Rattus norvegicus: one gene and its partners. The protein of the gene in region 6 interacts with the protein of the main gene of each other region in a pairwise test. Links are inferred from orthologs where the notes say so. Each region holds a gene or a part of one and is shown on either strand. Other genes may lie near its edges. The genes, in order: Trim54, Cep63, Ccdc57, Mipol1, Golga2, Fam161a and Card9.

Evidence for each region.
Region 1: the proteins of Fam161a (region 6) and Trim54 interact in binary tests that used the Homo sapiens proteins (3 or more experiments, as listed by UniProt). The two-hybrid records come from large-scale screens. The link is inferred for Rattus norvegicus from reciprocal best matches to the Homo sapiens genes FAM161A and TRIM54.
Region 2: the proteins of Fam161a (region 6) and Cep63 interact in binary tests that used the Homo sapiens proteins (3 or more experiments, as listed by UniProt). The two-hybrid records come from large-scale screens. The link is inferred for Rattus norvegicus from reciprocal best matches to the Homo sapiens genes FAM161A and CEP63.
Region 3: the proteins of Fam161a (region 6) and Ccdc57 interact in binary tests that used the Homo sapiens proteins (3 or more experiments, as listed by UniProt). The two-hybrid records come from large-scale screens. The link is inferred for Rattus norvegicus from reciprocal best matches to the Homo sapiens genes FAM161A and CCDC57.
Region 4: the proteins of Fam161a (region 6) and Mipol1 interact in binary tests that used the Homo sapiens proteins (3 or more experiments, as listed by UniProt). The two-hybrid records come from large-scale screens. The link is inferred for Rattus norvegicus from reciprocal best matches to the Homo sapiens genes FAM161A and MIPOL1.
Region 5: the proteins of Fam161a (region 6) and Golga2 interact in binary tests that used the Homo sapiens proteins (3 or more experiments, as listed by UniProt). The two-hybrid records come from large-scale screens. The link is inferred for Rattus norvegicus from reciprocal best matches to the Homo sapiens genes FAM161A and GOLGA2.
Region 7: the proteins of Fam161a (region 6) and Card9 interact in binary tests that used the Homo sapiens proteins (3 or more experiments, as listed by UniProt). The two-hybrid records come from large-scale screens. The link is inferred for Rattus norvegicus from reciprocal best matches to the Homo sapiens genes FAM161A and CARD9.

The regions. Positions count from the first base shown.
Region 1 is NC_086024.1:30,975,676-30,979,830, forward strand, and holds the start of Trim54 (tripartite motif-containing protein 54), read right to left. Parts: upstream 2,801-4,155; 5' UTR 2,617-2,800; coding exon 2,449-2,616; intron 1-2,448. UniProt on the Homo sapiens protein: May bind and stabilize microtubules during myotubes formation.
Region 2 is NC_086026.1:112,081,847-112,086,074, forward strand, and holds the start of Cep63 (centrosomal protein of 63 kDa), read right to left. Parts: upstream 2,801-4,228; 5' UTR 2,528-2,800; intron 2,416-2,527; exon of another isoform or gene 2,185-2,415; intron 1,817-2,184; exon of another isoform or gene 1,668-1,816; intron 322-1,667; exon of another isoform or gene 313-321; coding exon of another isoform or gene 284-312; intron 1-283. UniProt on the Homo sapiens protein: Required for normal spindle assembly.
Region 3 is NC_086028.1:106,674,227-106,677,726, forward strand, and holds part of Ccdc57 (coiled-coil domain-containing protein 57), read right to left. Parts: exon of another isoform or gene 552-3,500; coding exon 342-551; intron 1-341. UniProt on the Homo sapiens protein: Pleiotropic regulator of centriole duplication, mitosis, and ciliogenesis. Critical interface between centrosome and microtubule-mediated cellular processes. Centriole duplication protein required for recruitment of CEP63, CEP152, and PLK4 to the centrosome.
Region 4 is NC_086024.1:80,577,330-80,580,829, reverse strand, and holds part of Mipol1 (mirror-image polydactyly gene 1 protein), read right to left. Parts: intron 2,280-3,500; 5' UTR 2,210-2,279; coding exon 2,076-2,209; intron 1-2,075.
Region 5 is NC_086021.1:35,988,283-35,991,782, forward strand, and holds part of Golga2 (golgin subfamily A member 2), read left to right. Parts: intron 1-2,123; coding exon 2,124-2,219; intron 2,220-2,465; coding exon 2,466-2,509; intron 2,510-2,608; coding exon 2,609-2,672; intron 2,673-3,018; coding exon 3,019-3,075; intron 3,076-3,249; coding exon 3,250-3,330; intron 3,331-3,500. UniProt on the Homo sapiens protein: Peripheral membrane component of the cis-Golgi stack that acts as a membrane skeleton that maintains the structure of the Golgi apparatus, and as a vesicle thether that facilitates vesicle fusion to the Golgi membrane.
Region 6 is NC_086032.1:101,209,376-101,213,493, reverse strand, and holds the start of Fam161a (protein FAM161A), read right to left. Parts: upstream 2,801-4,118; 5' UTR 2,565-2,800; coding exon 2,544-2,564; intron 158-2,543; exon of another isoform or gene 1-157. UniProt on the Homo sapiens protein: Involved in ciliogenesis.
Region 7 is NC_086021.1:29,572,405-29,575,402, forward strand, and holds part of Card9 (caspase recruitment domain-containing protein 9), read right to left. Parts: coding exon 2,889-2,998; intron 2,822-2,888; coding exon 2,642-2,821; intron 2,507-2,641; coding exon 2,363-2,506; intron 2,096-2,362; coding exon 1,970-2,095; intron 820-1,969; coding exon 628-819; intron 217-627; exon of another isoform or gene 165-216; coding exon 123-164; intron 1-122. UniProt on the Homo sapiens protein: Adapter protein that plays a key role in innate immune response against fungi by forming signaling complexes downstream of C-type lectin receptors.

The DNA of each region.
Region 1 (4,155 bases), on a different chromosome or scaffold from region 6:
TCCATGGGGGTCAGAAGGGGGCATCAGAGCCCCTGGAACTGGAGTTACAGATGGTTGCGAGCCACCACGTGGATGCTGGGAACTGGACTTGGGTTGGTTGGGAGAGCAACAAATGCTCTTGACCACCGAGTCCTCTCTTCAGCCCCAGACAGTTATCTTTTCCTCTTTTGAGACGGGTCTTACTCTACAGGTATACAGGTATACTTGCTACATAGAGCAGGCTAGCCTCCAGCCTGTGGTGCTCCTTCCTCGCTGGATCCCAGGCTGGCTCCTGGCAAGAAGTGTATTCCTGGTGTTCCCATCACAGATTGCCCACCAGGAGAGCCAGCTCTGAGGAATCCAGGTTACTTCATCTGTGAGGTCCGGTGTCTGTACATGTGAGTTCTGTTCCTTCATTCTCCCTGACCTCTGATGCAGTCATAAACTACTCAGACCTCTACCAAGACACAGAGCCAGGAGGCAAGCCTAGGAACTTATAAAGGACTCTGGTTTATTTATTTAGTTAGTTGGTTAGTTAGTTAGTTGGTTAGTTAGTCAGTCAGTTGGTTAGTTAGTTGGTTAGTTAGTTAGTCAGTTGGTTGGTTAGTTGGTTGGTTGGTTAGTTAGTTGATTAGTTAGTTGGTTAGTTAGTTAGTTGGTTAGTTAGTTAGTTGGTTAGTTAGTTGGCTAGACAGCGTCTTATGCAGCCCAAGCCAGCCTTAACCTCCCAAGGGCTGGGTTTGCAGCCGTGCTCAGCTCTTCTGTTTTTGCGTTGGAGATGTGTAGATAAAATAGTGCTGTGACTTCACCTAGTTATGCTTGGCCTCATGACCACAGACACCCAGGCATTTCTGGGAAGTACAATTTTGTTTCTGCCGTCTGTCTGTCTGTCTGTCTGTCTGTCTGTAAGTCGCCTGGATACCATTTATCTCCTACTAGGTCAGGAAGGATCACCGGTGTGAAACTGGAGAGAATGTTCCTGCTGTGGCCCACTGTGTCTTATCAGACCCCTCAGGGACAGAGGGCTCTGCCTCAAATACACACAGTTCTGTTGGTATGGAAGGATTTCTCACCGGTTTACCAACAATTTTTTTTTTTTTTTTTGGTTCTTTTTTTCGGAGCTGGGGACTGAACCCAGGGCCTTGTGCTTGCTAGGTAAGCGCTCTACCACTGAGCTAAATCCCCAGCCCCAACAATTTTTAATTTTAGTTTTCTCTTTCTTATTTACTTTTTGAAACGGTCTTGTTTTGTTGCCCAAGTTGGATCAGAATTCACTATGTAAATAAGGTGACACTTGCTAGCATGGCAGCGATGTCTCTAATCCCAGTACGAGAGAGGCAGAGGCAAGAGGATCTTCTGTGAGTTCAAGGTCAGCCCGGTTTGAATAGTGAGCTTCAGGACAGCCGCCAGGGTTACAGAGACCCTGACTCAGAAACAAAACCAAACAATGACAATCCCCTTGTTTTAGCCTCCCAAGTGCTCGAATTACAGGCATACATACACCACCACACCAGGTTATTGTTTAAAGTGTGTGTGTGTGTGTGTGTGTGTGTGTGTGTGTGTGCGCCTGTCTGTCTGTGTTCATATAAGTGAAGGTCAGAGGTCAACTTTTGTGAGTCAGTTCTCTCTTTCCATCATTTATGTTTTGGGAATCAAACTCAAGTTGAGGTCTGGTAGCCACACTAGCTAACACACACACACACACACACACACACACACACACAGAGAGAGAGAGAGAGAGAGAGAGAGAGAGAAAGATCTCAATATATCCTTGATCTTTTCTCCAGAGTTTGTTTAAAAAAATTTATCTCTCTCTCTCATATGTGTGTGTGTTTGTATATGTATATGTATATACATATACATATAAAAGCCTCAAAATGAATGAAATCTAGTCCAAGCTCCCACTAAGCCCATGCGAGACCATCGATCTTCCTTTCCAGTTTCTGCTGTGCTGGGTGGACCCCACTTTCTAGTTGCTGTAGACACAGGTTATGCTTACCAGCCTCAGGGTAGCTGCTGACTCATGCTGACTCTGGGACCTTACTCTGGGACCTTACTCTGGGACCCTCAACTCTCCTGCCTCTCAGCCAGGGCAGTTTCACCGGCTCCCAGGGGTGGGCTCTCCCCCACCATCCGCCACCTGTCCCCCACCTGTCCCCCACCGTCCCCCACCGACCCCCACCATCCCCCACCTGTCCCCCACCATCCCCCACCTGTCCCCCACCATCCCCCACCTGTCCCCCACCACCCCCCACCTGTCCCCCACCATCCCCCACCTGTCCCCCACCTGTCCCCCACCGACTCCCACCGTCCCCCACCGTCCCCCACCATCCCCCACTTGTCCCCCACCTGTCCCCCACCTGTCCCCCACCGACCCCCACCTGTCCCCCACCATCCCCCACCTGTCCCCCACCTGTCCCCCACCGACCCCCACCTGTCCCCCACCGTCCCCCACCTGTCCCAGCCCACCTGGAAGACGTCGTTGGCACACTTGCGGCACAGGTTGTGTTGGCACGGCAAGATCACCACGGGCTTGGAGAACATCTCCAGGCAGATGGGGCAGATGAGCTGCTTCTCCAGGTTGTCCATGTTGTGTGCATCCCCCAGCAGCGGCTTGAAACCCACCGTGAAGTTCATCCCGCGGTGCTCTGGTGCCTTGCTGTGGCCCTGTTGCTGGCCTTCTCTCCCCCTGCCTGCGCGCCCTTCCGCTGTCAGTTTAGGCTGACTGTAGATTCTTGGGATCCCTGATATTGCTCCCTCTGGAAAGAGCGGTGCTTCCTGTCCCTTCCTCTAACAGCTCCTCTCTCCCTGGGCTATTTCCAGACACTCTGTCTGCTCGGAACCCTCACCAGGCACTTGTAGTTTATCTCTCTCTCCCTGTGAGATTCTCCTCCTGTCTCCCCAAACCACCCTCTTGCTCGCTCTGCGGGCAGCACTGTTTGTTCCTCCCGAGAGAGACTAATGTTACTGTGGGGGTGGGGACACAGGGGCACCGCTGTGACATTCCAGTTCCCAATTTAGCTCATGTAAGGCGAGACACAGCTGTCCCAGACTGAGTGGCCATGACTGTCAGGAATGGGTGGCCAGTGGCGTGTGGGGCTCTATCGCTGTCACTGAAAAGGCTCCTCCGAACACTGGTCTCCGTGCTCTGGCTTGGGACCTTCTTCCAAACAGAAACGCAGTGTAAACTAGCCTGTGGGAGAGGTGCCATACCTGGGCCCAGGTGGGGGGCAAGACCTGGACAGACCTGTAGACTGCGTCATCGCTTCCTCTACAGGCTTAGCCAGTGACCCGGCCCTCCTCCATGATTCAGAAGTGGAACGGCAGACCAGAGAGAGAGAGAGAGAACATCTTGTTCCATATGTCTGCCCCGTATTTGTTCTTGCCCAGCCTTTATATAAAAAAGCAACCCTACACTTATTTACTTAGGGGGAATGGTGGGTGCAACCTGGAGCACAAGTGGAAGTCACAGGACAAAAGAAAATTCTTTTTCTGCAGCATGTGCCAGAAATCCAACTCAGGTCCTCAGAACTGGTGACAAGTGGCTTTCCCCAGAGAACAATCTCTTCCTTCTCCCTTATTAAAGACAGGTTCTTGAGTAGGACAGGCTAGCTTTGAACTCATTCTCGCCATGGATGACCTTGAACTCCTGATCCTCTTGCCTCTACATCCGATGTGCTGGGTTGAGGGGAAAGCACCATTATCCCCATTTATGTGGTGCTGGGGGTCAACTCGGGGTCTCAAGCATGCTGGAGAAGCATTCTGCTAACTGGGCTACGTCACCAGCCCTTGGCTCGCCCTTGTGGCATCATCCTAGGAGAGCAGCTCAAAGGCAAGAGGTGGCTGCTGTACCAGGCCCAGACCTGCCTTAGGATTATGACGTGAGAGCGTGTGATTCTGGTCCACAACTACATTAGTCCATTGCAAGGATGCTAAATTTGCTTAAACCTGAAACAAGCATAGACTGGTGATGCCTCAGTGACCGGGAGAGCCTGCTGTTCAATCATGAGGACTGGAGTTCAAATCCCAGCACTCATACCCATCTGTAATAGTAACTCCAAGAGACTCAGCGCCCTTCATGGGCTCACAGACACGTGCACATAGACATTTACACGGACACATGCATGCAGATGCTCACACAGACACACATAAAGAAAAAGAAAAAAAAAGTTTTGA
Region 2 (4,228 bases), on a different chromosome or scaffold from region 6:
ATGTCCTGAGTTCAATTCCCAGCAACCACATGGTGGCTCACAACCATCTGCCCTCTTCTGGTGTGTCTGAAGACAACTACGATATACTCACCTAAAATAAATAATCCTTTTTAAAAAAAAATTGTTATATGTTCAAACAATTTAAACACATTAAAGTCTATTGGTTTGTTGGTTTGTTGGTTTGTTTTTAAGGTAACGCCCTTGGGTTACTTTTGGAGGTTGCTAAACTACAGATTTAAACACATTCAAGTTTATCTGTTTTAAGGTAGAGCCCTTGGGTTACCTTTGGAGGTTGCTAGGCCACCAATTCATTGCTGTAGTCTGAAAGGAAAGGAACAGAGTTAAGCATTTTCTTGCTATTCCTGGATAAGCTGTATTCAGGATAGTCAGATAAGAGTGCACTGGGCGCATGACCGTGGCTGTCCTGCAGTAACAGACCTGGGCACTATTAGCCATGTTAAATCTCTCTATTGACCAAAGGGCTCCTGGGCAATTTCATGGTGGATCAACTGAGCAGACAGCATAGGAACCACTACATACACAGCTTAATCTCAACATCCCAAGTGGGATGACTCAGACATTACAAGTCTCCCTGATAATGAATGCAACCGATAATTTTCATAATATAAAGCCTATAACTATTACGTTTTTCTTATACCTCCAATCAAAAATCAAGGTTGAATCTAACACTATTTCAAAAGATCATTGTATTTCAACAGAACTTTCTGTAATTATGGAAACATTTTATCTGTATTGATCAAACAGTAGCCACTAGGCAACCTGTGAACGCTGGGTATATCAAATGTGGCTAACGCAATTGAGGAACCAAACTTTTATTTCATTTAAAATATCAGGACTGGCTGATGACTGCCACACTGGACAGTGTAATTCAAGATTTAGCCAGTGGAGGAGAGGTCATAGAAGAGTAGAGGAACATAGTCAAAAATATATACAATCAGTTAAATCTGAATGATAAATGGAGGTAAGAAAATGCTATAGATTAGAGGGCTTTAAAGGCCTAGCAATCGAAGGCAACAGACAGTTCTCTGCAGGAAATCTGGTCCAAGCACAGTATTTCAATTTCAAGCACATATGGAGTAGCTGAAAAACCCTGAACCCATTGGATATTGATATTGTGTATTTGTTATAAATTTGTACTGATATAAAGATAGCACCGTGATTTTGTAAAACTTAAAAAAGCAAATCTAGCCTTTGGCATGGAGAGTACCTTAACTATGTTAGCTATGATAGTGTGGACTAATGCTGTCACCATCAGCCACTACACAGGACAGGAAGGCCTAAGGAACTGTCCCCTACCTCCCCACAGGAGGAAACAGCATCAGCAGATACACATTCTAAAGGGACATGCATCTGTTTATAAATCTCTAACCCATTTTAGTTTGACAACCTCCTTAACTGATCGCTGAGGACGGCACAGTGAAAGACAAGAAGCAGGGACAAAAATTACCTAAAAATGGCGCTGCATTCCAATGAATGAATATAATTCATGAATGAAACGAAGATAATTCGTTTCATCGTATCACTAAGCTACAGCCTTTAAGAGTAGGTGTAAATAGTTAGATAATTAAAGCCATTGATCTTTGACTTACAAAATATAAATACAAAATAAATGCAAATGTTCGAAGAATTGTACAAAGAGCACCTACCCTGCTTTAATAAAGTAATACATTTTAAAACTCTAAATTGGCCTCAAGAAAGAGAACTCAAAAAGCCAGGCGAGGTGGTGCAGATCCTTAACTAGCAGGCAGAGGTAGGTCCATCTACAATGAGGCCAGCCTGGTCGACCAGAGCAACAAAGGAGAGCCGGTGCTAGTTGGAGAGAAAGGGGATCGCTTTGAGCAATAAGTGTACAGTTTATAAATGAAAACTCTGTAACCCCACGATTCTGTGAAGTACAAAAGCCCTTTCCAATCAATCCATTCACGGTCAAGTGTCTCCGCGTAAAGCGTTGTTATCGAACTGCTCTTTCAAAACTTTCACTCGACTTGAAAGCGTTCCGCAATTCGCCTGCATCAGGGGTTCCCGCACCTTTCCTACGAACATTACGAGGGAACCCTGCGGACTTCACGCTGAGTGGCTAATGCTAAGGCCTGGTCCTACACCCGTAGCAGCAGGGTTCCTCCCCGGGAGCGAAGCAACCCGCCCTCCCGCTGGCCGTAGCACCTGGCCGGTCAGCTCAGAGCCCCATAGGGAGGAGACGGAGGAACCCAGGGACGCAGCGGCCGGACAGCAGTGGGCGTGCAGTGGAGGCCCCCGCGGTAGGTGGGCCGCAACGAACTGCGGCCCCGGGCCATGCGGCCAGAAGGTTAGCGGCACCACGGTGGCCAGGGCCGCAAACGCACAACAAGCCGCAGCTCGCCCGTCTTAGGGGCATGCGGTCGGTTACGGAGCGCGCCCCCGGCAGAGCGCGCCCCGGGGCCTGCCCGCCGTTCCTCTGACCGGGAACGCGCGCACGTCACAATAAATCGACGTTCGTCCCGCCCCCTACAGCAGCGAATGGACTCACCTACATACGGGGTATGAGAGCGCCGTGCGTCACGTGACCCGGAAGAAGGGCGGGGCCCGGAGGAAGCCGACGCGCGCTCTGTGGGTAAGGGTTTTTCGCGCCCGCCGCCCGGGTTTCTGAGAGTAGCCAAGCGTTCGCCCTCGACTTCAGAGTCGTTCAGCGCTTCCAGAAGCGCAGGCCGGTACTCTCAACCGACCTTCAGAGCCACTTCTTTACTGCACGCTGTGCGGAGTGGAACGGAGCACCCATGGCGACGCTCGACCTCCCCCTTGCACTTCCGCACGTAGTAGCTCCAGCACTCGAACCGGAAACGGCTGCAGCGGGTGGTTCTGCGTCTAGTGACCCAAGATGGTGGCCTGCGAAGGCCAATTTTAGTATCGGCCCCCGTGCTTTTAGCTTAGAAATACATTTACAAAGCTGTGATTGTGAAAATACATAAAACGTGAGTATGTCTCATAGGACGTACGCATCTAATATCTAGAAAGAGATGTCTGGACAAAAAAACTCCTGTTGTCACATATTGTGCTCAGAGATCAAGACAATCTGAGAGCTGAGAATTTATCTGGAGGACCGGGCATAGTAAGAGAAGAGTACAAAAAGTTTAAGAAACCTAGAGAGGTTATGCTGTGTCGTAAGGGTTTGGGGCATTGCCTGTGCTTGCTTTTCCCAGGGGGAGCACCCGATCACCTGACCCAGGAAAATAGATGTAGACTTCAAAGCCCTGCCGCGGTTCCTGTTGTTTAGAAGGACGAGCAAGCATAACTGATGAAGTACAGTGGGTGGGTAAAAAGCAAGCCGGTTTGTAGGCATGTGGGAGAGGGTCGTGTTAAAAAACATTGAGGCCGGGCTCAGGGAGTTAAAAAATCATGAGGCCAGGCTCAGAGAGATGGCTCAGGGGTTAAAAACACTGTCTACTCTTCTAGAGGTCCTGAGTTCAATTCCCAGCAACCACATGGTGGCTCACAACCATCTGTAATGAGATCTGGTGCCCTCTTCTGGTCTGCAGGCATACATGCAGGCAGAGAGCTGTATGATATATACATAATAAATAATTAAAAAACAAACAAACAAACATTGAGGCCAGCTTGTTGAAAGATTGGGAATCACCGCATTACCACTGGAGACAGTAGGACTCTGCCAGTCAATCACAAAGCTGACCTAACTTGTTTCATAGATCATTTAATGTGAGCAACAAAGCATTCAAGGACAAAGAGCCTGCTAAAAAACTGGAAGGAAGTCAGAACACTTTAGAAAAGGATGCAGTCTGTATAGGACTGGGAAAATCAGTACAGGAAAGAATGAAATGTAGCCCAAGACACAGCTATAAAAACAAAAGATTGACAGGAAAGGGGAGGAAACTTGTCAAGCCCTAGAGGAGTGACTAGAAGTGGCTCTTCAGCTAGCTTTGCATTATCCACTAGCTAGGGTCTGGTTAAGTCTGAGGAAAACTGCTAAGCCATCACCTGGTTTTCACTCAGCAGGAGGAGCTGACCACCTTTGGCTTCAGTGTTTGTATGCGGGTGTGTGGTGTGTCTGTGTGCATGAGCAGACAAAAAAGGTGTGGTTTCTGCCTACAGGTGGAGTCGTAGATGAGTGTAGAGGTCAGAGGTCAACGTCTGTGTCTTCCTTTATTACTTTGAATCTTAAACTAAACCTGGAACTTTCTGATTCAACTAGACTGCCTGGCAGCCTCCCGGAGGA
Region 3 (3,500 bases), on a different chromosome or scaffold from region 6:
AGTCCCCACTGGCTCCCCTTCTAGGCATACCAAGAGTTGGCATGCTTTTATCTGCAGGGGCCTGCTACCCAAGCATGCCCCATCAGCCTGCCTGCTGGCTACTTCTCCCACATCTGGCCCTCAGTCACGTAGGTCACTGCTCTACACAAACACTCAACAGTTTCCCATGGTGCCAGAGTCTGTAAGGCCCTGAAAGCCCAGCTCCACCGAGGACATTCCTCCTCTGAACTCGAACTCTAGCTTCTAGGTATCCCTGAGCACATAGGTGGGTTCTTGTCTTCCTCCTGCTGAACTCTCTTCTGCGCCCCCACCAATGTCTATGGACCTTCTCGCCCTCTCACCGTACTTGAGTCCAACCACACCCACTCCTGTTTCATCACGTCCACAGGTAGTGAACTGTCCCAAGGTGTTCTCCGCTCGGTGAGGGCAAGCATGACAGGCATGACAGGTATCCGTGCGCAACCCCGGGCCTGAAGAGCTACCAGCCTGTAGCATACGTTCAGAAACACTTCTGAAAGGAGTGAGTAAATCTCCTCCAGCGTCTTGTGAACCTGTGACGACCAACAGGAAAAAGGGTTTCTCTGGTTCACAGTACGTGGTGAGGTTAAGCAGACCAGTCAGTTACTAGCCGTCAGCTTGTTTAAATTTATAAGAGAAAAATCATTATTTCATGAATCCACTCTATTTACAAAGGTGACCGACACGTGAGACTCTGGCCCAACAACAGAAGGCAGGGCCTTGAGGAATACTGCGTTTACACAACTCTCTCCTGACCACCACCCAGAAGGCCAACACTGCTCCAAGCCACATCAGGCTGCTCTAGGCAGACTGCCCTGGGCCGCCTCGGGCTGGCTATTCCAGCCTCTATGGGGGGAGACCTCTCCCTAGCCTCCTGCAGCAGAGCTGGCATAGTAGCATGTCAAGGTTTCTTGAGTCCAGAGATGGGGATGCCGCCTGAATGACGGAGCCAAAGTTCCCTTGGACACCCAAGTGCATTCCACTGAGTCTGAGCAAACCAACCTCTCAGCAGCCTTTTCCAGCTAAAGACTCTCTTGAGACTCCTTTGGCGACTGTGGCGCCACCGCAGGGGAGTCGTTTCTTAGTTGCTGAGTTGTTTTTGGTGGTTGTTGCTAACTTTTTAGACAGGTTCTCATTTTTTTTTTTTTTTTGGTTCTTTTTTTTCGGAGCTGGGGACCGAACCCAGGGCCTTGCGCTTCCTAGGTAAGCGCTCTACCACTGAGCTAAATCCCCAGCCCCGACAGGTTCTCATTTTGTAGGCCAAGTTATCCTTAAACTCATGGTGATTCTCCTGCCTCTGCCTTCCAGGTATTAAGATTACTTGCTACCTTGAACCACCATATCTGGTATAATTAATCTTTTCTTGACTACATATTTCCAGGATCTGGCTCAATGGGCAAGACTCCTGTCTGTTTTGGAAGTCAAACCTGTTGTTGGTTGATTAAACAACGTCAGACCCAGGTAGGTGCCCTGACAGGTAAAGCTAGATAGGAACAGCAGGGGTGACAGAGACCTCGGGTGACAGGCAGGGTGAGCAGGAGAGAGAAAGAGTTCTTGGGAGGTGGGCTTCATTGAGAAGCTCATTTAATTAGGGGAACAAAGGCTATTTATTTGAACCTTTGGCGGTGAGAAAGGGCTATGGGATGAGTGAGGTCACTGGCCAGGGCCAGGGTACTGGAGATGCCTTATTTGCATAGGGAGGAGTCCCAAGTGCTAGCTGAACTTGACCTTATAAGGAGAGAGGAAGTTTAACCTGGATCCCAGCCACCAGGCTAGGTGACTCCCTCAAAAGTCACAGGGGTGGGAGCATGGGTCTACGTATGCTAGGACATGCAGGCCTAGAGCAGGTTTATAAGAGGTTCCATCTTGAGAACTGCTCTTCTCAGTGTGTCAGATCCTCTGGAACTAGAGTAACAGATAATTGTGAGCTGCCATGTGGGTGCTGGGAATTGAACCCAGGTCCTCTGGAAGAGCAGCCAGTGCCCTTAACTGGTGAGCCATCTCTCCAGCCCCTAGAAGTACATATTCTTATGCTTGGTACAGCTACTGACCTGATAGATGTCTGTTCCTTTGCCCATAAGGCCCAGTAGTAGTAGGCCTGCTTTTGGCTGCCAAGGCTGAAATGTATCTGTACTGTCCTACCTGAGGCTTCTATTGGCCCCAGACCCCATTCTGCAGTTTAGCTCACAGGGATATTGACCTTTCCACATGAGGACACGGCACTGGTCTGTTACACTGTTCTGCTTGATTCTGTTACTGTGATAAATTGCTCCATCAAAAACAACGTGGGGAAAGAAGGGTTCACTCAGTAAGAGGTTATAGCCCATCATCAAGAGAAGCCAATGCAGGAAGAGAAGCAGAGGCCATGGAGAAATGCTGCTTGTTGGCTTGCTCCCCCTGGACTGTTCTTTCTTCTGCAGCCCAGGATCACCTGTCGAGGGTTGGCACTGCCCACAGTGAGCTGGGGCCCTTCTACATCAATTAGCAATCAGTTAGCAATAAAAGCAATTCTCAGTCAAGGTTCTCTCTTCCAAGGCCTCTCAGGTCAATAACCAGAATGAGTCTCACACTGATGGCAGTGAAGATGGCAGAGGACACCGTGAACTTAGTGGTGACAGACTTGCATGTCAGTGGTTGGGACGTAGAACCTGACTAAAATGCAGCGGCCCCTATCTCTAGAATCCAAGTTCCTGGTCTGGCACCTGCCACAGCCAAAAAGCAGGAGACCCGACGACGGGCCTCTTCAGACTTTGGAGGCAACGCACACCTTACTTGGATGCCACTGAGCAGTCCCAAACACTACCTGGGTTACTAATAAAGTGGGGAACATGGCTACCTTCAAAAAGGCGTCAAGTGTTTGCCTTTTCTCCCCTCTCCACTTGTTTTTTGAGGTAGGGTCTTGCTGTAGACCTGGCTATCCTGGAACTGAGATCCCCCTGTGTCTGCCTCCTGAGTGCTGGGATTAAAGGTGAGAGCCACTATGCCTGGCAGTATGAATGGGACCTAAGATGCGAGAGAGCTCTCTAGTAGGTCAAGGACAAGGCTGCTATGCTTTGTCACTTGGGTCATATGACACGACTCCATGGTGCCTGAGGTGGCAGAAGCTTCAACATCATCCACAGATAACCAGGTCTCTAGGCTGGGGATGCAACTCAATTGCTTAGGATGTGCGAAGTTCTGGATTTCACCCCCAACACTGGGGAAAAATAAAAGGACGAACCCTCTCCTTTTCTGTTTGTTTGTTTTGTTTTGCTTGGTTTTTGTTTGTTTAGATGGTTAGTTTGGTTTTTTAGAGATGGCATCTCATTGTGTACCTCTGGCTGCCCTGGAACTCACTATGTAGACCAGGCTGGCCTCAAAATCAAACATCTGTCTGCTGCCTCTGCCTCCCAAGAGATCAGATTAAAGGCCTGTGCCACCATGCCTCAATGGTTTGGCTTTTGTTATTTTATCATTTTTTTTCCTCTCCCAGAGCTGAAGAC
Region 4 (3,500 bases), on a different chromosome or scaffold from region 6:
TGGTTCAGTCTGACTAGATCTGGTTCAGTATACCTAACAAGAGATCAGATTAGAGGCTATAAAAGCTATAAATGTTTTGATTTATAGTTCTGTTTGGGAAAAACATGTATTTTTTGCTTTTCTGAAAATGGAAACAACAATTTTCCCAATTTTATGAAAACAGTATCATCTTCATATTTTCATTATTAACTGAAAGACATTAAAATTAATATCTATTCCCCAAGGAGTTAATAGTAAATACATTCCACAAGACAGCTGACAACAACATCGACCTGTAAGCAGGTAGTATAGAGAAGAAATGAGAAAAAGATGGGTTGTTTCTGGTGTCGAAGTGTTAAGTATGTAAGCACTGATGGGTGTGTTACTTAAGCCGGTCTTTGGCACTGAGCCCTTGGGACAGGCAGCGAGTATAGGGCTCTCATGCTCTCATACTGAATTATACCACAGAGCTCATGGAAGGAACACAACATGAGCTCTACCATTTATGTTTCTTGTATGATTATAAAAATGTTTATCCATTCTCCCACCATCCTCTATACCAAACATATACTACCAATTGTACTTTGGTAAGAATCTGACACTAAGAGAGAAGAACACCAATACAGTTACTGATTTTACTGTGTATTGATAGCAGTGAATGTATCTGAACAATTTTGAAGAGAAAAGCAACCCTACAAAACTTTAAAATAGTATGTGAGGAAACACAAAAATCAGAATTATGTTGTCATTTTAAAAATCTAGTGTTACCTTTACAGCACATAATTAATAAACAAAGCAGCATAATCTCATTCATAATAAACACAGGTATCATAGACTCAAATTTCTTTACAGAGTATGACTTAAAGCCACAGAATGTAGAATAAAAAAAAAGGTAGACAGAGTACAGGATCACTCTAAAAGTATTCAAATTACCCAAAACCAAGAACATGGCGATGAAAAAATAAACACCTTTGACCAGATTTGAGCTTTGGTGAATAACATATCATTTATATCAGTTTCACACAAGTATCCTTATATAATAAAGTCATAGTGAAACTCAAGACGGATGATCAAAATGTGAATGCTTCACTCCTTCTTTAAAAGGGGAACAAGAATACACTTGGCAGGGAATAGAGAGGCAAAGATTAAAACAGACACAGAAGGAACACCCATTCAGAGCCTGCCCCACATGTGGCCCATACATATACAGCCACCCAATTAGACAAGATGGATGAAGCAAAGAAGTGCAGACTGACAGGAGCCGGATGTAGATCTCTCCTGAGAGATACAGCCAGAATACAGCAAATACAGAGGCGAATGCCAGCAGCAAACCACTGAACTGAGAATAGGTCCCCTATTGAAGGAATCAGAGAAAGAACTGGAAGAGCTTGAAGGGGCTCGAGACCCCATATGTACAACAATGCCAAGCAACCAGAGCTTCCAGGGACTAAGCCACTACCTAAAGACTATACATGGACTGACCCTGGACTCTGACCTCATAGGTAGCAATGAATATCCTAGTAAGAGCACCAGAGGAAGGGGAAGCCCTGGGTCCTGCTAAGACTGAACCCCCAGTGAACTAGATTGTTAGGGGGAGGGCGGCAATGGGGGGAGGATGGGGAGGGGAACACCCATGGAGAAGGGGAGGGGGAGGGGTTAGGGAGATGTTGGCCCGTAAACCGGGAAAGGGAATAACACTCGAAATGTAAATAAGAAATACTCAAGTTTAAAAAAAAATAAAATAAAAAAAAAATAAAATTTCATTACTTTCTTTAAACTCATTTTGTGCTTTCTCTCAGCTATCTAGATACATTATATCAACATCATGAAAGTAATTGAAGCCCTTACAGAGAACAGAAATTTTTTTATTAATTAATTATTTAATTTCTTTACATCCCAACTGTTTCTCCGTCTCCTAGTTCGCCCTCTCAGAGTTCTTCTCCCATACCCCTCTCCCCTTCATGCTGAAATTGTTTTTAAGTCACTAACACATTAAATTTATTAGACTCCAAAATGAAGAAGAGAGAAAACGTATTAAGGGAAGAGTGCTATTTCAATTCTTACTTTTTCGATGAAACACTGAAACCAACACGCACCTGCACGTTGCAGATAGAACTTCATCTGGACAAGGACGGAGGACCTGACAATTGCTGGATTTTCTTCCTGGTAATACAAGGTCCTGAGATGTGACTTCATTGCCTAACTCGTGCATGTTCTGCTCTGAACTCATAGTCAGCTGCTCATCTGCTGGTGCGTCCGCACTTCCCACAGAGGTCAGTTGTACAAGACAAAGGTCATATCTGCATTAAACAAATGACACGTGATATATGAAAGGACACAGGCAGATAGGAAGATGGTTGAGTCAGATGACCATGCTTAGGAAAAGAACCTCATGGACTTGAACACAGTCACTGGGATCACTCTGCAGACGAAGTGTGTGGAGTGCAGCATTTGTCGTCGGCATTCCTATGTCCGTGAGCAGAAGACATTTACATCAGTGGTTCGCAACCTTCCTAATGCTGTGACCCTTTATGCAGTCCCTCATGTTGTGGTCACCCAACCATAAAATTATTTTGTTGTAAATTTATAGCTGCAATTTTGCTATGATTATAACTTGTAATGTAAATATCTGTTACGCAGGGTAGCTGATATGCGACCCCTGTAACAACATTCAATCACAGAAGGTTGAAAACCTCTGTTTAGAGTAATAGCTTACAAGTCAGGCTCTACACTGCTACCTGAGTTTCTAAAATGGGGCAGAGAAGGCCACACCTGTGCTAACTCAACAAAAGCTTCTGGAAGTGGATCAGCTTCTATGTTTTACATTGCCTAAATGATTACAGTTAATGGAGACGACCATTAATTTAAACATATACTCAAAGTAGTAAGTATAAGAAAATGATAATAGTGAATCAGTACTATGCAATGTAACTGTGATTTGCCCTGTCTGTAGAAAAAATTACAGCCTTAATAAGTGTATAATGATGTACAAGATATTTAACATATCACTTTCTGTCTATAAAATGTAAATAAAAAATATCACTGACTTAAAGAAGTGCCTGATATCAGTAAAGATGATTTATTTCAGTAAACATCATTATAATATTAAAATGAATGGAATTACTTTAACCTCAATGTCATCAAAAAATACAATACATTATTAAATCTACTTTGTATGCCTAATTATAATCACAAAATTATTTAAGTTGTATACACTAAGCAATATTTATTTTAAAGAGATAAAATATATTTCATGGCATAATAAAGTTTGGGAGGAAATCATTATTACTAAAATTAAAAGACACAACTATTGATTGCAACTTTTATGTACTTTATTAAGTCTAGAAGAAATAATTCTCCACCTGTAAAAAGTAGGCTTGGCAGTATTACAGAGCAATAGTGATAAATATATATATGGTATTGGTAAAAAGAAGGCAGATAGACCAGTGAAATAGTATTGAAGACCCAGAAATGAACCCACACACCTATGGTCACTTGATCTTTGATAAAGGAGCCAAAAC
Region 5 (3,500 bases), on a different chromosome or scaffold from region 6:
TAGTTCTTCAGTTAACATGTTAGGGGACATCCACCAAACAAAAGGAGCAGGCTTCTGTCCAACTGAAGGGGTGGCCTGAGCCAAGGCCACATCCTGTGGGGCTGAGGATGGGCGGGGTGAGGACTCGCAGGCTGGCATTGGGCTGTTTTCAGCCAACAGAGCTGATCCTGCCAGGTGTGGTCGGCTCAGGTGCTGTGCCTCCGTGCTCAGCTCAGACGTGGCACATTGTGCGTGTGGGAGTTGGGGGCACAGAGTTGGCATTTGTTGTGCTAAGGAGTCAGTCACACAGAGCTGGGGCTTCAGTTTCCCCTTTGGGAAATACTGACCAGAGCACCTAGCCCCTCTGTTCAGGAAGTGAAGACTTTTCATGTGTTTATGAAAACTTTCTTGAACCATAACTGACTTTCTACTCCAGGGATAAAGGAAATTGGCATCTTCTGAGTAGAAATAAAACAGGAAGTTATGGAAAAATAAAAATAGTTTCTGATGGGATGGGGTATTTTGAGGAGAGTGAAAACTTTGTAAGCACTCCATGCTTAGCTCTAAGACTTAAAATTGGGGAGTTACATGGTTCCTCACAAAGCAATTGAAAGTCTCCCAACAGTGCGTGGTGTCCCATCTTTATAATCCCTGCTTTTGGGAGGCAGAGGCAGAAAGGAGGTCTCTAGTTTGAGGTCAGCCTGGGCTCTATAGCAAGTTTGAGGCAAGCATGAACTTCAGAGAGACCCTGTTTCAAAACCTAAGACAAAAACCAAAAGGTACTCAGACAAATATTTTTATCTATTTTGTGCCTCTGTGAATGTTGCCAGGCTTAGAGATGTGTGTTACTAAGATGCTACAAGGGACCCAAAGCCTAGAAGGGTCTGTTGCTGGGAATGTCACACCTCCAGACTATCTCAGGTGTGGCCAGCTGCCACTGAGTCCCTGGTCTTACCTGTTAGACTCAACTGTAGACATTGTCAAGGCAACACCTAAGTGTGATTCAGAACTGACAGTCACATGTGTTACAGGGACGTTAGTCACAGTAAACCTGAAGAGAATGAAGTTCACACTTGAGTTCTCAGACGTCCTTTCTCACTTACTCAAAGGAGGAAATTTGGTTAGCATCTCCAGAGGCTGAGACTGAAGGCTTCAGAAAGCAAGCAGCCATTTCTTTGGAGAAAGGAATGGCCACTTCCTCCCAGAGCAGCCTTGCTGGATAGGCCTGGAATTTTTGTCCCTCTCCTTTTGTCTTCCCATCCTTTGCCTATTTGGATTGTTGGACCTGAGAAGACCTCTAAGCCAGAGACATAGTCTAAGAGTGAGGCCTGAACTACCAGGCCTAGGGGTGTGCGCACACCTTTAATCTAGCACCTGGGAGGCAAAGGCAGGCACAGCTCTGTGAGTGCAAGGCCTTCCTGGTCTACAGGGTGAGTTCCAGGACAGCAAGGGCTACATAGTGAGCCCCTGTCTCAGAAAATAAAACAAACAAGTGAGGCCTGAGCCTGAGGAGGAGCTGGGTACAGCTGGTCAAGCAGATAGTTCCTGCCAGGGAAGTGGGGAGACTTCTACAAGCTGCCATATAGGAAATCCTAGGATTGGTCCCTGGCTGCTTTTCCTAGGAAGCTTACATGATCTTCTAGATACTTCAAGCCAAAGGGCAGCCATTGTTCTCTACTTTACTCAGTTGTTTCTGAATCGACAAACACAGCCAGTGCATGGGTCTGGGAGGAGGGAAGGCAGGAAAGCAAGAGGAGAGGGAGAATGGTTATGTTGACCCTGATGATGAGTCCATCCCAGGAGCAAGACCTATAGTCAGGGGCCGTTAGCTCTCTGCCTCCTGCACTTGGCACTTTGTCTACCTGCTGTGGCTGCCACAGGTCAGAGCTCCATAGGGAACTAGGTCCTTGTGTATTCAGGAAGGAGCCCCTGCAGCCCCTGCTTTGAGCTCTGGCCCTTCAGAATGCTACTAAGTAGCCTGAGACCTGGGCATGTCTTGTCTGTACCCCAGTAGCTCCCAGCATGTGCAACTGTCCTGTGCCTGCCGCTGTGCTACCCTGCTTGCCCCATCACCTCGTGTCCGTGGCATTGAGGCCCTTCTCTCCTGCATGGTCTTCTAACCATCCTGCTCTGTTCTATGACAGGTGCCCACAGACCACACTGCTCCTGCACCACCAAGTACTGCTGCTGCCACTATGTTTCTTGGTGTCGTCCCTTCCCCCGATGCTGATCTCATTCAGGTTTGTCTTTTCTTCACTTTGCCTGACACTCTCCTGTCTGCTTCCTGAAGGACTCCCAAAGTTCTTTGAACTCTTTCTCTCTTCAGATAGCTTGGTCCAGGTGCTGCTCCGGGAGCCTGGCATGGGGAGGCCAAGCTGGGGAAGGCTTGGGAAGATGGGTGTTGAGATGAATTTGGCTCATGGTGTCCCTGTGTGACAGTAAGCAGAAGCTGAATAATGTTACCTTGTTTCTTTCTACCCACACAGAGCCACGATGCTGGCAATTGCTCTAACCTCATGGAGGAGACCAAGTAAGTGTTCCCTACTGAGGGAGTCAGGGCAGGCCTCTGCCCATGAGCCCTGTTTCCATCAAACTACCTGCACCCCTGATCTTATGTCTCCTCCCTTAGGACTTTCTCATCGACTGAGAGTCTGCGACAACTTTCTCAACAGCTCAATGGCCTTGTGTCTGAGGTACCACAGGACTGGGGTCCAGAGAGAAGGTAGAGAGGAAAGGAAGGCACAGTAGAAAACGAGGCAGGGATTCCCGAGCGGCTCTTGTCATGCTTGGAGAAGACCTGGATTTGGACCTCGATGGGCAATGTGATTTTATCCTGTTTATCCTGGTGTGGAAAGTTCGAGGTGACAGCTGTTGAGCAGCGGGGTTGAGCCATGGGGGTTTAGGGGCCATGAGGAGTGGCACAAGAGGGTGTGAGTGAACAGGAAAGCAGACTCTGCTAGTTGAGGGGGAATAGGAGGCTGCAGGGATTAGACAGTGAGGGTCACAGAGCATCTCCATGAGAGGTATTGTCTCTCCTAGTCTACATCCTACATCAACGGGGAGGGCCTCACGTCTTCCAACATGAAGGAACTGGAGGTAAGTGGCCTTGAATCATGGCCGAGCAACCCTTTACGCCAACCACCTATCTCCTCCTACAGGGACCTGGGTGCCCGCTGCCAGCTGAGACAGCCCACCACCCCCACCCCTAATGATGCTCTTTCTCCCTTTCCCCCATCCTTCCTCAACTCCTCCTCTCTGCATGCGCCTCAGAGCCGGTACCAAGAGCTAGCAGTAGCCCTGGACTCCAGCTATGTAACAAACAAACAACTCAGTAGCACGATAGAGGAATTGGTAAGAGTCAGCGGGGTCCCTGATTCTTGCTGCCAGTCCTGGGCTCCAGTTTCCCCTTTGGGCTCTGAAGAAAGGGACTAGGGGGCCCCTGGGACCAAGGGGGAATGGAAAACCTAGGGGCTTCCGTCTTAGCTGGAGGCAGCCAGAGCATAGAGCATGCAGCATGGTTC
Region 6 (4,118 bases):
TTCATTTTTAGGGAACTGATGTGAAGCACTTGACTTCTCACCTCACTGCTTCTCTCAGTGAATGTGGGACCCTCTGGGCCTTGTTCCAGGCCTCCTACTATGGTGGCTAATCCTTAATCTCTTTTGATGTCTCTATTAAATGTTGAGGTTCTCTCTGTCTCTGTGTGCCTGTGTGTATGTGCCTGTGTGTGTGTGTGTGTGCACCAGAGGTCAATGACAGACTTTTTCTCCCCTCGGTGACACAGATACAGGCTGGATTAGACCGGATTAGAAGTGGATAAAGGCAGGTTTATTAGGGGGCAGCTCTTGGGTGGGTTCATCGATCTCACAGGTGGAGGTCGGTGACGTCACATCCAGGCTAAAGCAAGGGGGTTTTACAGAGCTTTGTGAGGAGTGAAGATCTGCTAGCTAGGAGCTGGGATGGTTGGTGTGCACGTGTGGTCAGAATCTGAGCCCCCGGGGAGGCACTCTTGGGCAGGTTGTCTGGAATTCGGAGAGGAGTGATGATGTGTTAGCCTGAGTTTTCTCCCAGGTGGGCGGGGCTGGGGAAAGGAGAGCAGAAGGAGTTTCCCAGCCTGTGCAGGGGTGAGCATCAGTTGCAGGAACATCCGATCTCGGGTGAGTTCCCTAGTCCATCTTATCTTTTGAGATGGGGCTTTCGGCAAATTCCAGGAATCTGCCTGTTTCCTCCTCCCGAAGCACTGGGATTATACACAAAAGCCAACACACCAGGTGTGTATGTGGGTGTTGGAAACCCAAACTCCACTTATAACACAAATCTTCAGTGAGCAGGGCACTTTGGAACCTAAGCACAACTATACAAAGGACAGACCTTTCTGCCAGAGTATATGTCAGTTTCCAAGTGAATTGTTCAAGCTGGCAGTTATAATTACGAATTTATGTAAACTCTCTAGAAATGACACCCATTCTCTCCTCTGGTTCTTATTAACAGAAGATGGGGGCGATTATAGTCCTTTTACAGACAGAGAAACAGAAGTCATGTCCTATAATCACCCAGCGAGTAGCAGACAATGGCTTCTGATCCAGAATCCAACTCCTTCCCTCCATTCCAGCATTCTGCCTTCTGTAACCTTTGATAGATTGTGTTGAATGGCAGCCTTATCAGGTATAAACCAGTCCTAGGATTCTGGTGGTTTGGGCCTCTGTCTACTTTACATAACCTTGAAAGAGCTGATACAGGCCAGCCACGGTGCCTGAATCCCAGTATTGGGAAGATGGAGGCAGGAGGGTCAGGATTTTAACAGCAAATTTGAGGCAATCCTGAACCAAAGGAGACCCTGTCTAAAATAAAACAAAAACCAAGTTTGTAGCTGTTAGTACAGCACTTGCCTAAAGCACAAACCCTTCATCCCACCCCCAGCACTGCTAAGAAACCAAGTGGCAGGGGTTGGGGTGGGGACACATACACACATGTGCACGTGCACACACACACACACACACACACAGACATGCTCCTTCCTGGTGCTTTACACCAGCAGAGTGCTAGACTTTTTAAGTGAATAAAAGTTGGGCATTTTACTATGCACCTTTAAACCAAGCACTCAGGAGGCAGAGGCAGGCAGAGCTCTGTGAGTTTGAGTTCCAGGACAGCCATGGCTATGTCTCAAGAGACAAACTAAAAAGGATGCTGCAATGGCTTAAGAGCACTTGCTGCTCTTGCAGAGCACCTAGGCTTGATTCCCAGCCCCCATCACAACCGTCAGGAACTCCCAGGAACTCACACTGCGCACATTCATACACATAAATCTAAAAACAAACAAATGAAATGAATAGAACGGATAGAGCCCTGGTTGCCCTTCCAAGTTCCTGAGTTCAATTCCCAGCAACCACATGGTGGCTCACAACTATCTGTAATGGGATCTGATGCCCTCCTCTGGTGTGTCTGAAGACTGCGACAGTGTACTCATATGTATAAAATAAATAAACCATAATCCATATGTATATGGAAAAGAAGTAGAGAGGATAGAGGAAGACTGTGCCCTCCTGCTAGAAATGCATCCAGGACATAATACTGAAAATGTTTTGCGAGAAGACCTCACTGCACCCGTATGGCCCCTTTAGTAAACTTTGGGATTTCGGGGATTTATCTGGATGTTTCTCTATATCTATGGAGCATCTGTCCACTGAACTTCAAACAGGCTTTCCTAAAGGACTGCTAAAATCCACTACTAACCAAAACCGATAAAATACACTTGTCAGTCCAACTTATCATCTGAGGTTTTATGAAAACTATAGATAGGCACATCAGTTTTCCTCAAGGGAAAAAACAAAAATTAAAAATAGAAAAAAATTTAAAAAACTGAAGAATATTTATTCTCAAGATATGCTGGAGAATAAATAAGTAGAATTCTGTTCTGTGCACACTCTAGAAATAGCTATAAAAATGCTCTCCAAGAAAGTTTTGCATTAGTCTTTAGTTGGAGCAGAGAGCAGGAAGGGTCTGCAGAGGACACCGCATTTCCACCCGTCCCTGCTGGTGAGGACCCGGACAGCCCCCAGACCCCGCCGGGCTCCCACATTACCGACGCCCGTATCTGCCACATCCTTTTCTTCTGTTTCTCTTCCACGGCCGCCGCCAACGCCGCTGCTACCAAGAACTATAAGGGGTCTTCGCGTTCGTACTGGGAGGCCCTTGCTCCTGTGATGGGATTTGCGGGCAGGTGGAGGTTGGCAGCAGCCAGTCTGATAGCCTAGTGCGGCGAAGCCACCGCCCCGCCTCCGAGCCCGAGCGCCCGCGCCGGCCCGGGGCGGGTGAGCTGGCGCCGCCGCCTCGCTCGCAGATCCTGGCTGGGGAGAGCGGTTACTAGGGGCACGGTTACTAGGGACGCTACAGGAGGTGGCGAAGGACCGTAACGCAGGCAACGTCCTTTCTCACTGTCACAAATGCGAGCCCCGAGTCCAGCTAACGTCTAATGATGGTTTCTGATACAATCCTGCGGTTTAACGGGGCATTCTAGAAGCATAACTATCCGAATCTACACTAATGACTACCACAGTAAGCTAAAGTAAAACGCAGTCTTCAAGAGAGTTTGCTCAATGGAATCTCATCAGCACCGGGACTATTACTGATTCTCTTGAATGACACCCAGATCCGCAGCTAGGGACTGAGCTTTTCTCTGGTTTCTAGCTTTATTTCGTTCTATCTGAACGAGGACTTCTCGCGGTATACGCAGAAAGCGCGTTTTTATTAACTGGATCAACATATTAGAGCACAGAGGAACAGGAAAGAACGGGCGTTGGGTGACCAGCCCAAGAAAAGGACAGGCTATGCAGCGTGCTATTCAACATGGCGGAGAACGCAGTTCATCTCTAATTGACAAGAATTTCACGAGTTGACCAATCAGAGGGAGAATACTTATTTGTCCCGCCCTCCTGTTTCTCGACTGACCAGTAAGACGCTAGACATAGGAAATGCCTGTCACTCGGACCAGTGAGTGATGGGGTAGCTTGTCTTGGGGTTCTGCAGCTAGCTTAGCCGCAGGCTTGGAGGGGGAGAACCCACAGGGACCACACCCTCCCAGCTCAACCCCACCAGCCTCCTGATCGATCTTAGGTTTTTGGCCGCTTCGGATGGTCTTTCAGTGAAGTCTCAGCCACCTGCAACGTAACACTACTTAGAAGTAGCGCCCCTGTCCCCACCATAAGGTTCCAGTAGTTTCCACATTATGCGGCTCGCCTTCCACTGAACCTGTTTCTGACGCAGTTGCTACCAGCCCTTCCTTGCTCGCCCCTGCGAGGTCTCCATCACCTCACCTTCCCTGCCTCCTCTGGTTTGGCTGAGCTTGCCTCTTGCAGGAACTGATGGGTACTGGTTGGTTCTGAAAAGCTAGAGGTGGGGAGGGATCCATAGCCGTCGGAATGACAGCTAGTTCTGTGACGGGATTTGGTGTAAGCCAACTCAAAAACAAGACCTGTCTACAGACTGAAGCCCTGTAAGCTGATGGTTTTAGGATCATGAAATAGTAAATAATGGGTATGAAGGACATCAGTGTCCTTCAGTACAGAGAATAGGAAAGTTTCGACCGACAGTATTCTAAATTTGCAGACATCGAGTAACAGCTAAAAAGAGGGAGGGGAACAGAAATGGGCAGATCTGA
Region 7 (2,998 bases), on a different chromosome or scaffold from region 6:
CCTGTATCCAGCCCAAAACGAGAGAAAAGGGACAATCCAGTTTAAGAGCCACATGGGAGATGAGTGTGAGGTCAGGTGGAGGTTGAAGGACAGGGAGAGGCCCACTCTGTGTCCATACTCACCTCCTGGGAGTTCCTGGGGGAACTGTCTTCCAAGTCAGAGCTCTGTGGCCACAGAAAAGGGAGTTGGTCAGTGGGCGGTAGGGGCTCCAAGCACCTGGGCATGGGGCATGTAGGGCAAGATAAGAGCCCCCTCCAAGCTCCATCCTCTAGGGCAGCCCTGCACATATCTCTAGATATGCCCAGATATGTCTTTCTTAACACTACACTGCCAAGCCACCAGGTGACTCCCGGGGCAAGGCCACTGTCCTTGGAGTGGTGTGACTGACTGGGCCTTGGGTTATATTTATGGCTGTCACTTCACCATGAAGAGCTCTAAAGAGGAAAAATGGGATTCAGGAAGGCCAGGCATCTTCTGAGATCACAAGCAGAGCACCAGCCATTCCAGGCTAGGCCTGGGGATGCTTCTGGGCTGCATGGTCCCTCAGGAATCTTGCCTTGACCCCGCATTCTCCCCAGCTCCCGAATCGCCCAGACTGCCCTAGCTACAGCAGACACAGAGACCTACCAGGATGAGCATGTCCAATTGCTGCTGCTTGAGTCTGCCCTCAGCGGCCAGTAATCGGCTCTCGGTCTGGAACAGCTGCAGCTGCAACTCGTCGGCCTTCTCATCCAGTTCTCGAACCTGCTTTCGCAGCTTATCTTTGTCCTGAAAGCTTTGGGCACACTGTGCATGCAGCTCTTCCCTTGAGGTCATAGCCTGTAGGAATGGCCAAGGCCACACCCTCAGCAAGGGACCTTGGCTCTCATTTGGCAGTATAGGTCTTGGCCCCTACCAGAGGTCCTGGCGGGACATCAACCACCCTGCTGTGCTGCTGGAGTTGCTGAACTGGAGGGATTCTCAAAGCATTGGGGCTCGAAGTACAAGTGAACAAACACTGGGTGGAATAGGGCAGGCCCAGAACCTTAGCACTTGGGAGGCAGAAGCAGAATCAATAGTTCAATGCCATATCTGGAGGCAAGATTGGGTTGCATGAGACTTCGTCTCAGAAACAAAACAAAACAAAACAAAACAAAAAACACTGCAAAGAAACAGCCAAAAACCTCTGTGATTAACACACAAGTCAGTTCCTAGGAAGCCCAACTGAGAAGTCCTACATTCCCAGCAGACAGTGTGTGTGTGTGTGTGTGTGTGTGTGTGTGTGTGTGTTTCCGTCCCTCCTATGGGACATATTTTATAAATTCTGGATGTTGCTTGACATCAAAAGCAGGATCCATGGCTGTCCTTAAATGAACACAATGTGTGTTTTTTCTTTCTTATCCCAGGCTGGCCTCATATATACTAGGTAGCTGAGGATGGCCTTGAGTTTATGATTCTCTTGTCTTTACCCCTAAATGCTGGAACCGGCATGTACTACTAAACATGGCTTTTTGAGACAGGGTCTCACATTGGGCCCCAAACTGGCTTGGAACTCACTGTAAATCAGGCTGCCCTTAAATTCACAGTAATTATTTTGTCTCAACCTGCAAGTGCTGGGATTACAGGTGTGAGTGAGTCACCACTGCCCCTACCCGGGAACCACCACCAGCTCTTGTACCAAATGCTCCCCACCCCCAACCTATGCATCTGGCAGCTTCCTCTCCCCTACTGAAGTCTCCCTCCCACCTATCCCTCCCTATCCAGCACCGGGACTGCAGTGTTCTCCTGCTACATAAGCTCTTCCTTTGAGTAAGGTTAGACCTGACTGCATTTGTACGAGCAGCCCCAGGTTCTATCTTTCAACACTGCCAAGTTACCTTGAGCATAAATAAATAAAAAAAATGCTTTGGCCGCAGCAGCTCCAAAGGCTGCCACACCAATACCCCAGCACTGCTTGTTCTCAGTTTCTGAATGCAAGTGTGGCACCCACCTGGTCCCGCTCAATGGAGACTTCCTCCATCTGCTGCAGGATAGCCTCGATCCGGTCCTTGTACATCTTGGCATCCTTGCGCAAGGCCAGGCACTGCAGCTCGAACATCTCCTTTTCCTCCATGCACTACAGGAAGCACCGCTCAGCCTCACTCCCTCCCCTACCCGAGCTGGACAGACAACAGCCCCAGAGCACACAAGACCAGGCTGGCTGGGGTAATGAGGAAGACACTGGAGTCCCAGTCCACAGTAGGCTAACCTAAGCCCAAAGGGTGACCTTAGCTGTGGACACACCACCGTGTACTAGGAATTGATAAAGGGGAGACAGTGAGCTGTCCCAGACCCCACCATCCAGGATCCCAGTGGGCATTGCTTGCCTGCCCTGGCCTCTTACCCGGGTCCGGAGGGCCTCAGCCTGGCGGAGGTCCTTTCGTAGGGAGAAGATGGTGCTGGCCTGCTCCTGGTGTTCCTGCAGTGCCTGACGCCAGTCCTCCTCCAGCACCTGGATGTATGGGCTATTCCTGTGTAGCTTACCCTCCTGGAGGTGGCAGGGAACAATAAGCCTGGCTGAGGAGGCCCACAGTGCCACAGCCACTGCAGTTGTACCATCTGGTGTGCCCAGCTTCAAGCCCATGCAGATGCGAGGCCTGGTGTGCACCGGTGGTATTCCTACCTGCACGGAGACCTCCAGCTCCTGCACCCGGGCCTGCAACAAGTCCCTCTCCTGCTGCAGGTCCCACAGCAGCTCCTGGCTAGGCCGCTGCTCCATGGCGTGCCGGAGCTTCAGTGTGTGTTTGCGCTCCACCTTGCAGTCATCCTCTGCCTTCATGAGGCTGTGCCTGAGCTGGTCCACCTGCGGGTGGTCCAGTCAGCCACAGCCTCCTCCTGACCACCCCGCTGCCTGTGGAGTGAGCCATCACCTCAAGCTGCAGGTCACGGTTCCGCATGAGTGCTGCTCCCTTCTCTTCACTCAGGTGAGCCAGGCGCATGGCCAGGTCGTAGTTCTCATCCTTGCAGCGCTTCAGCTCGG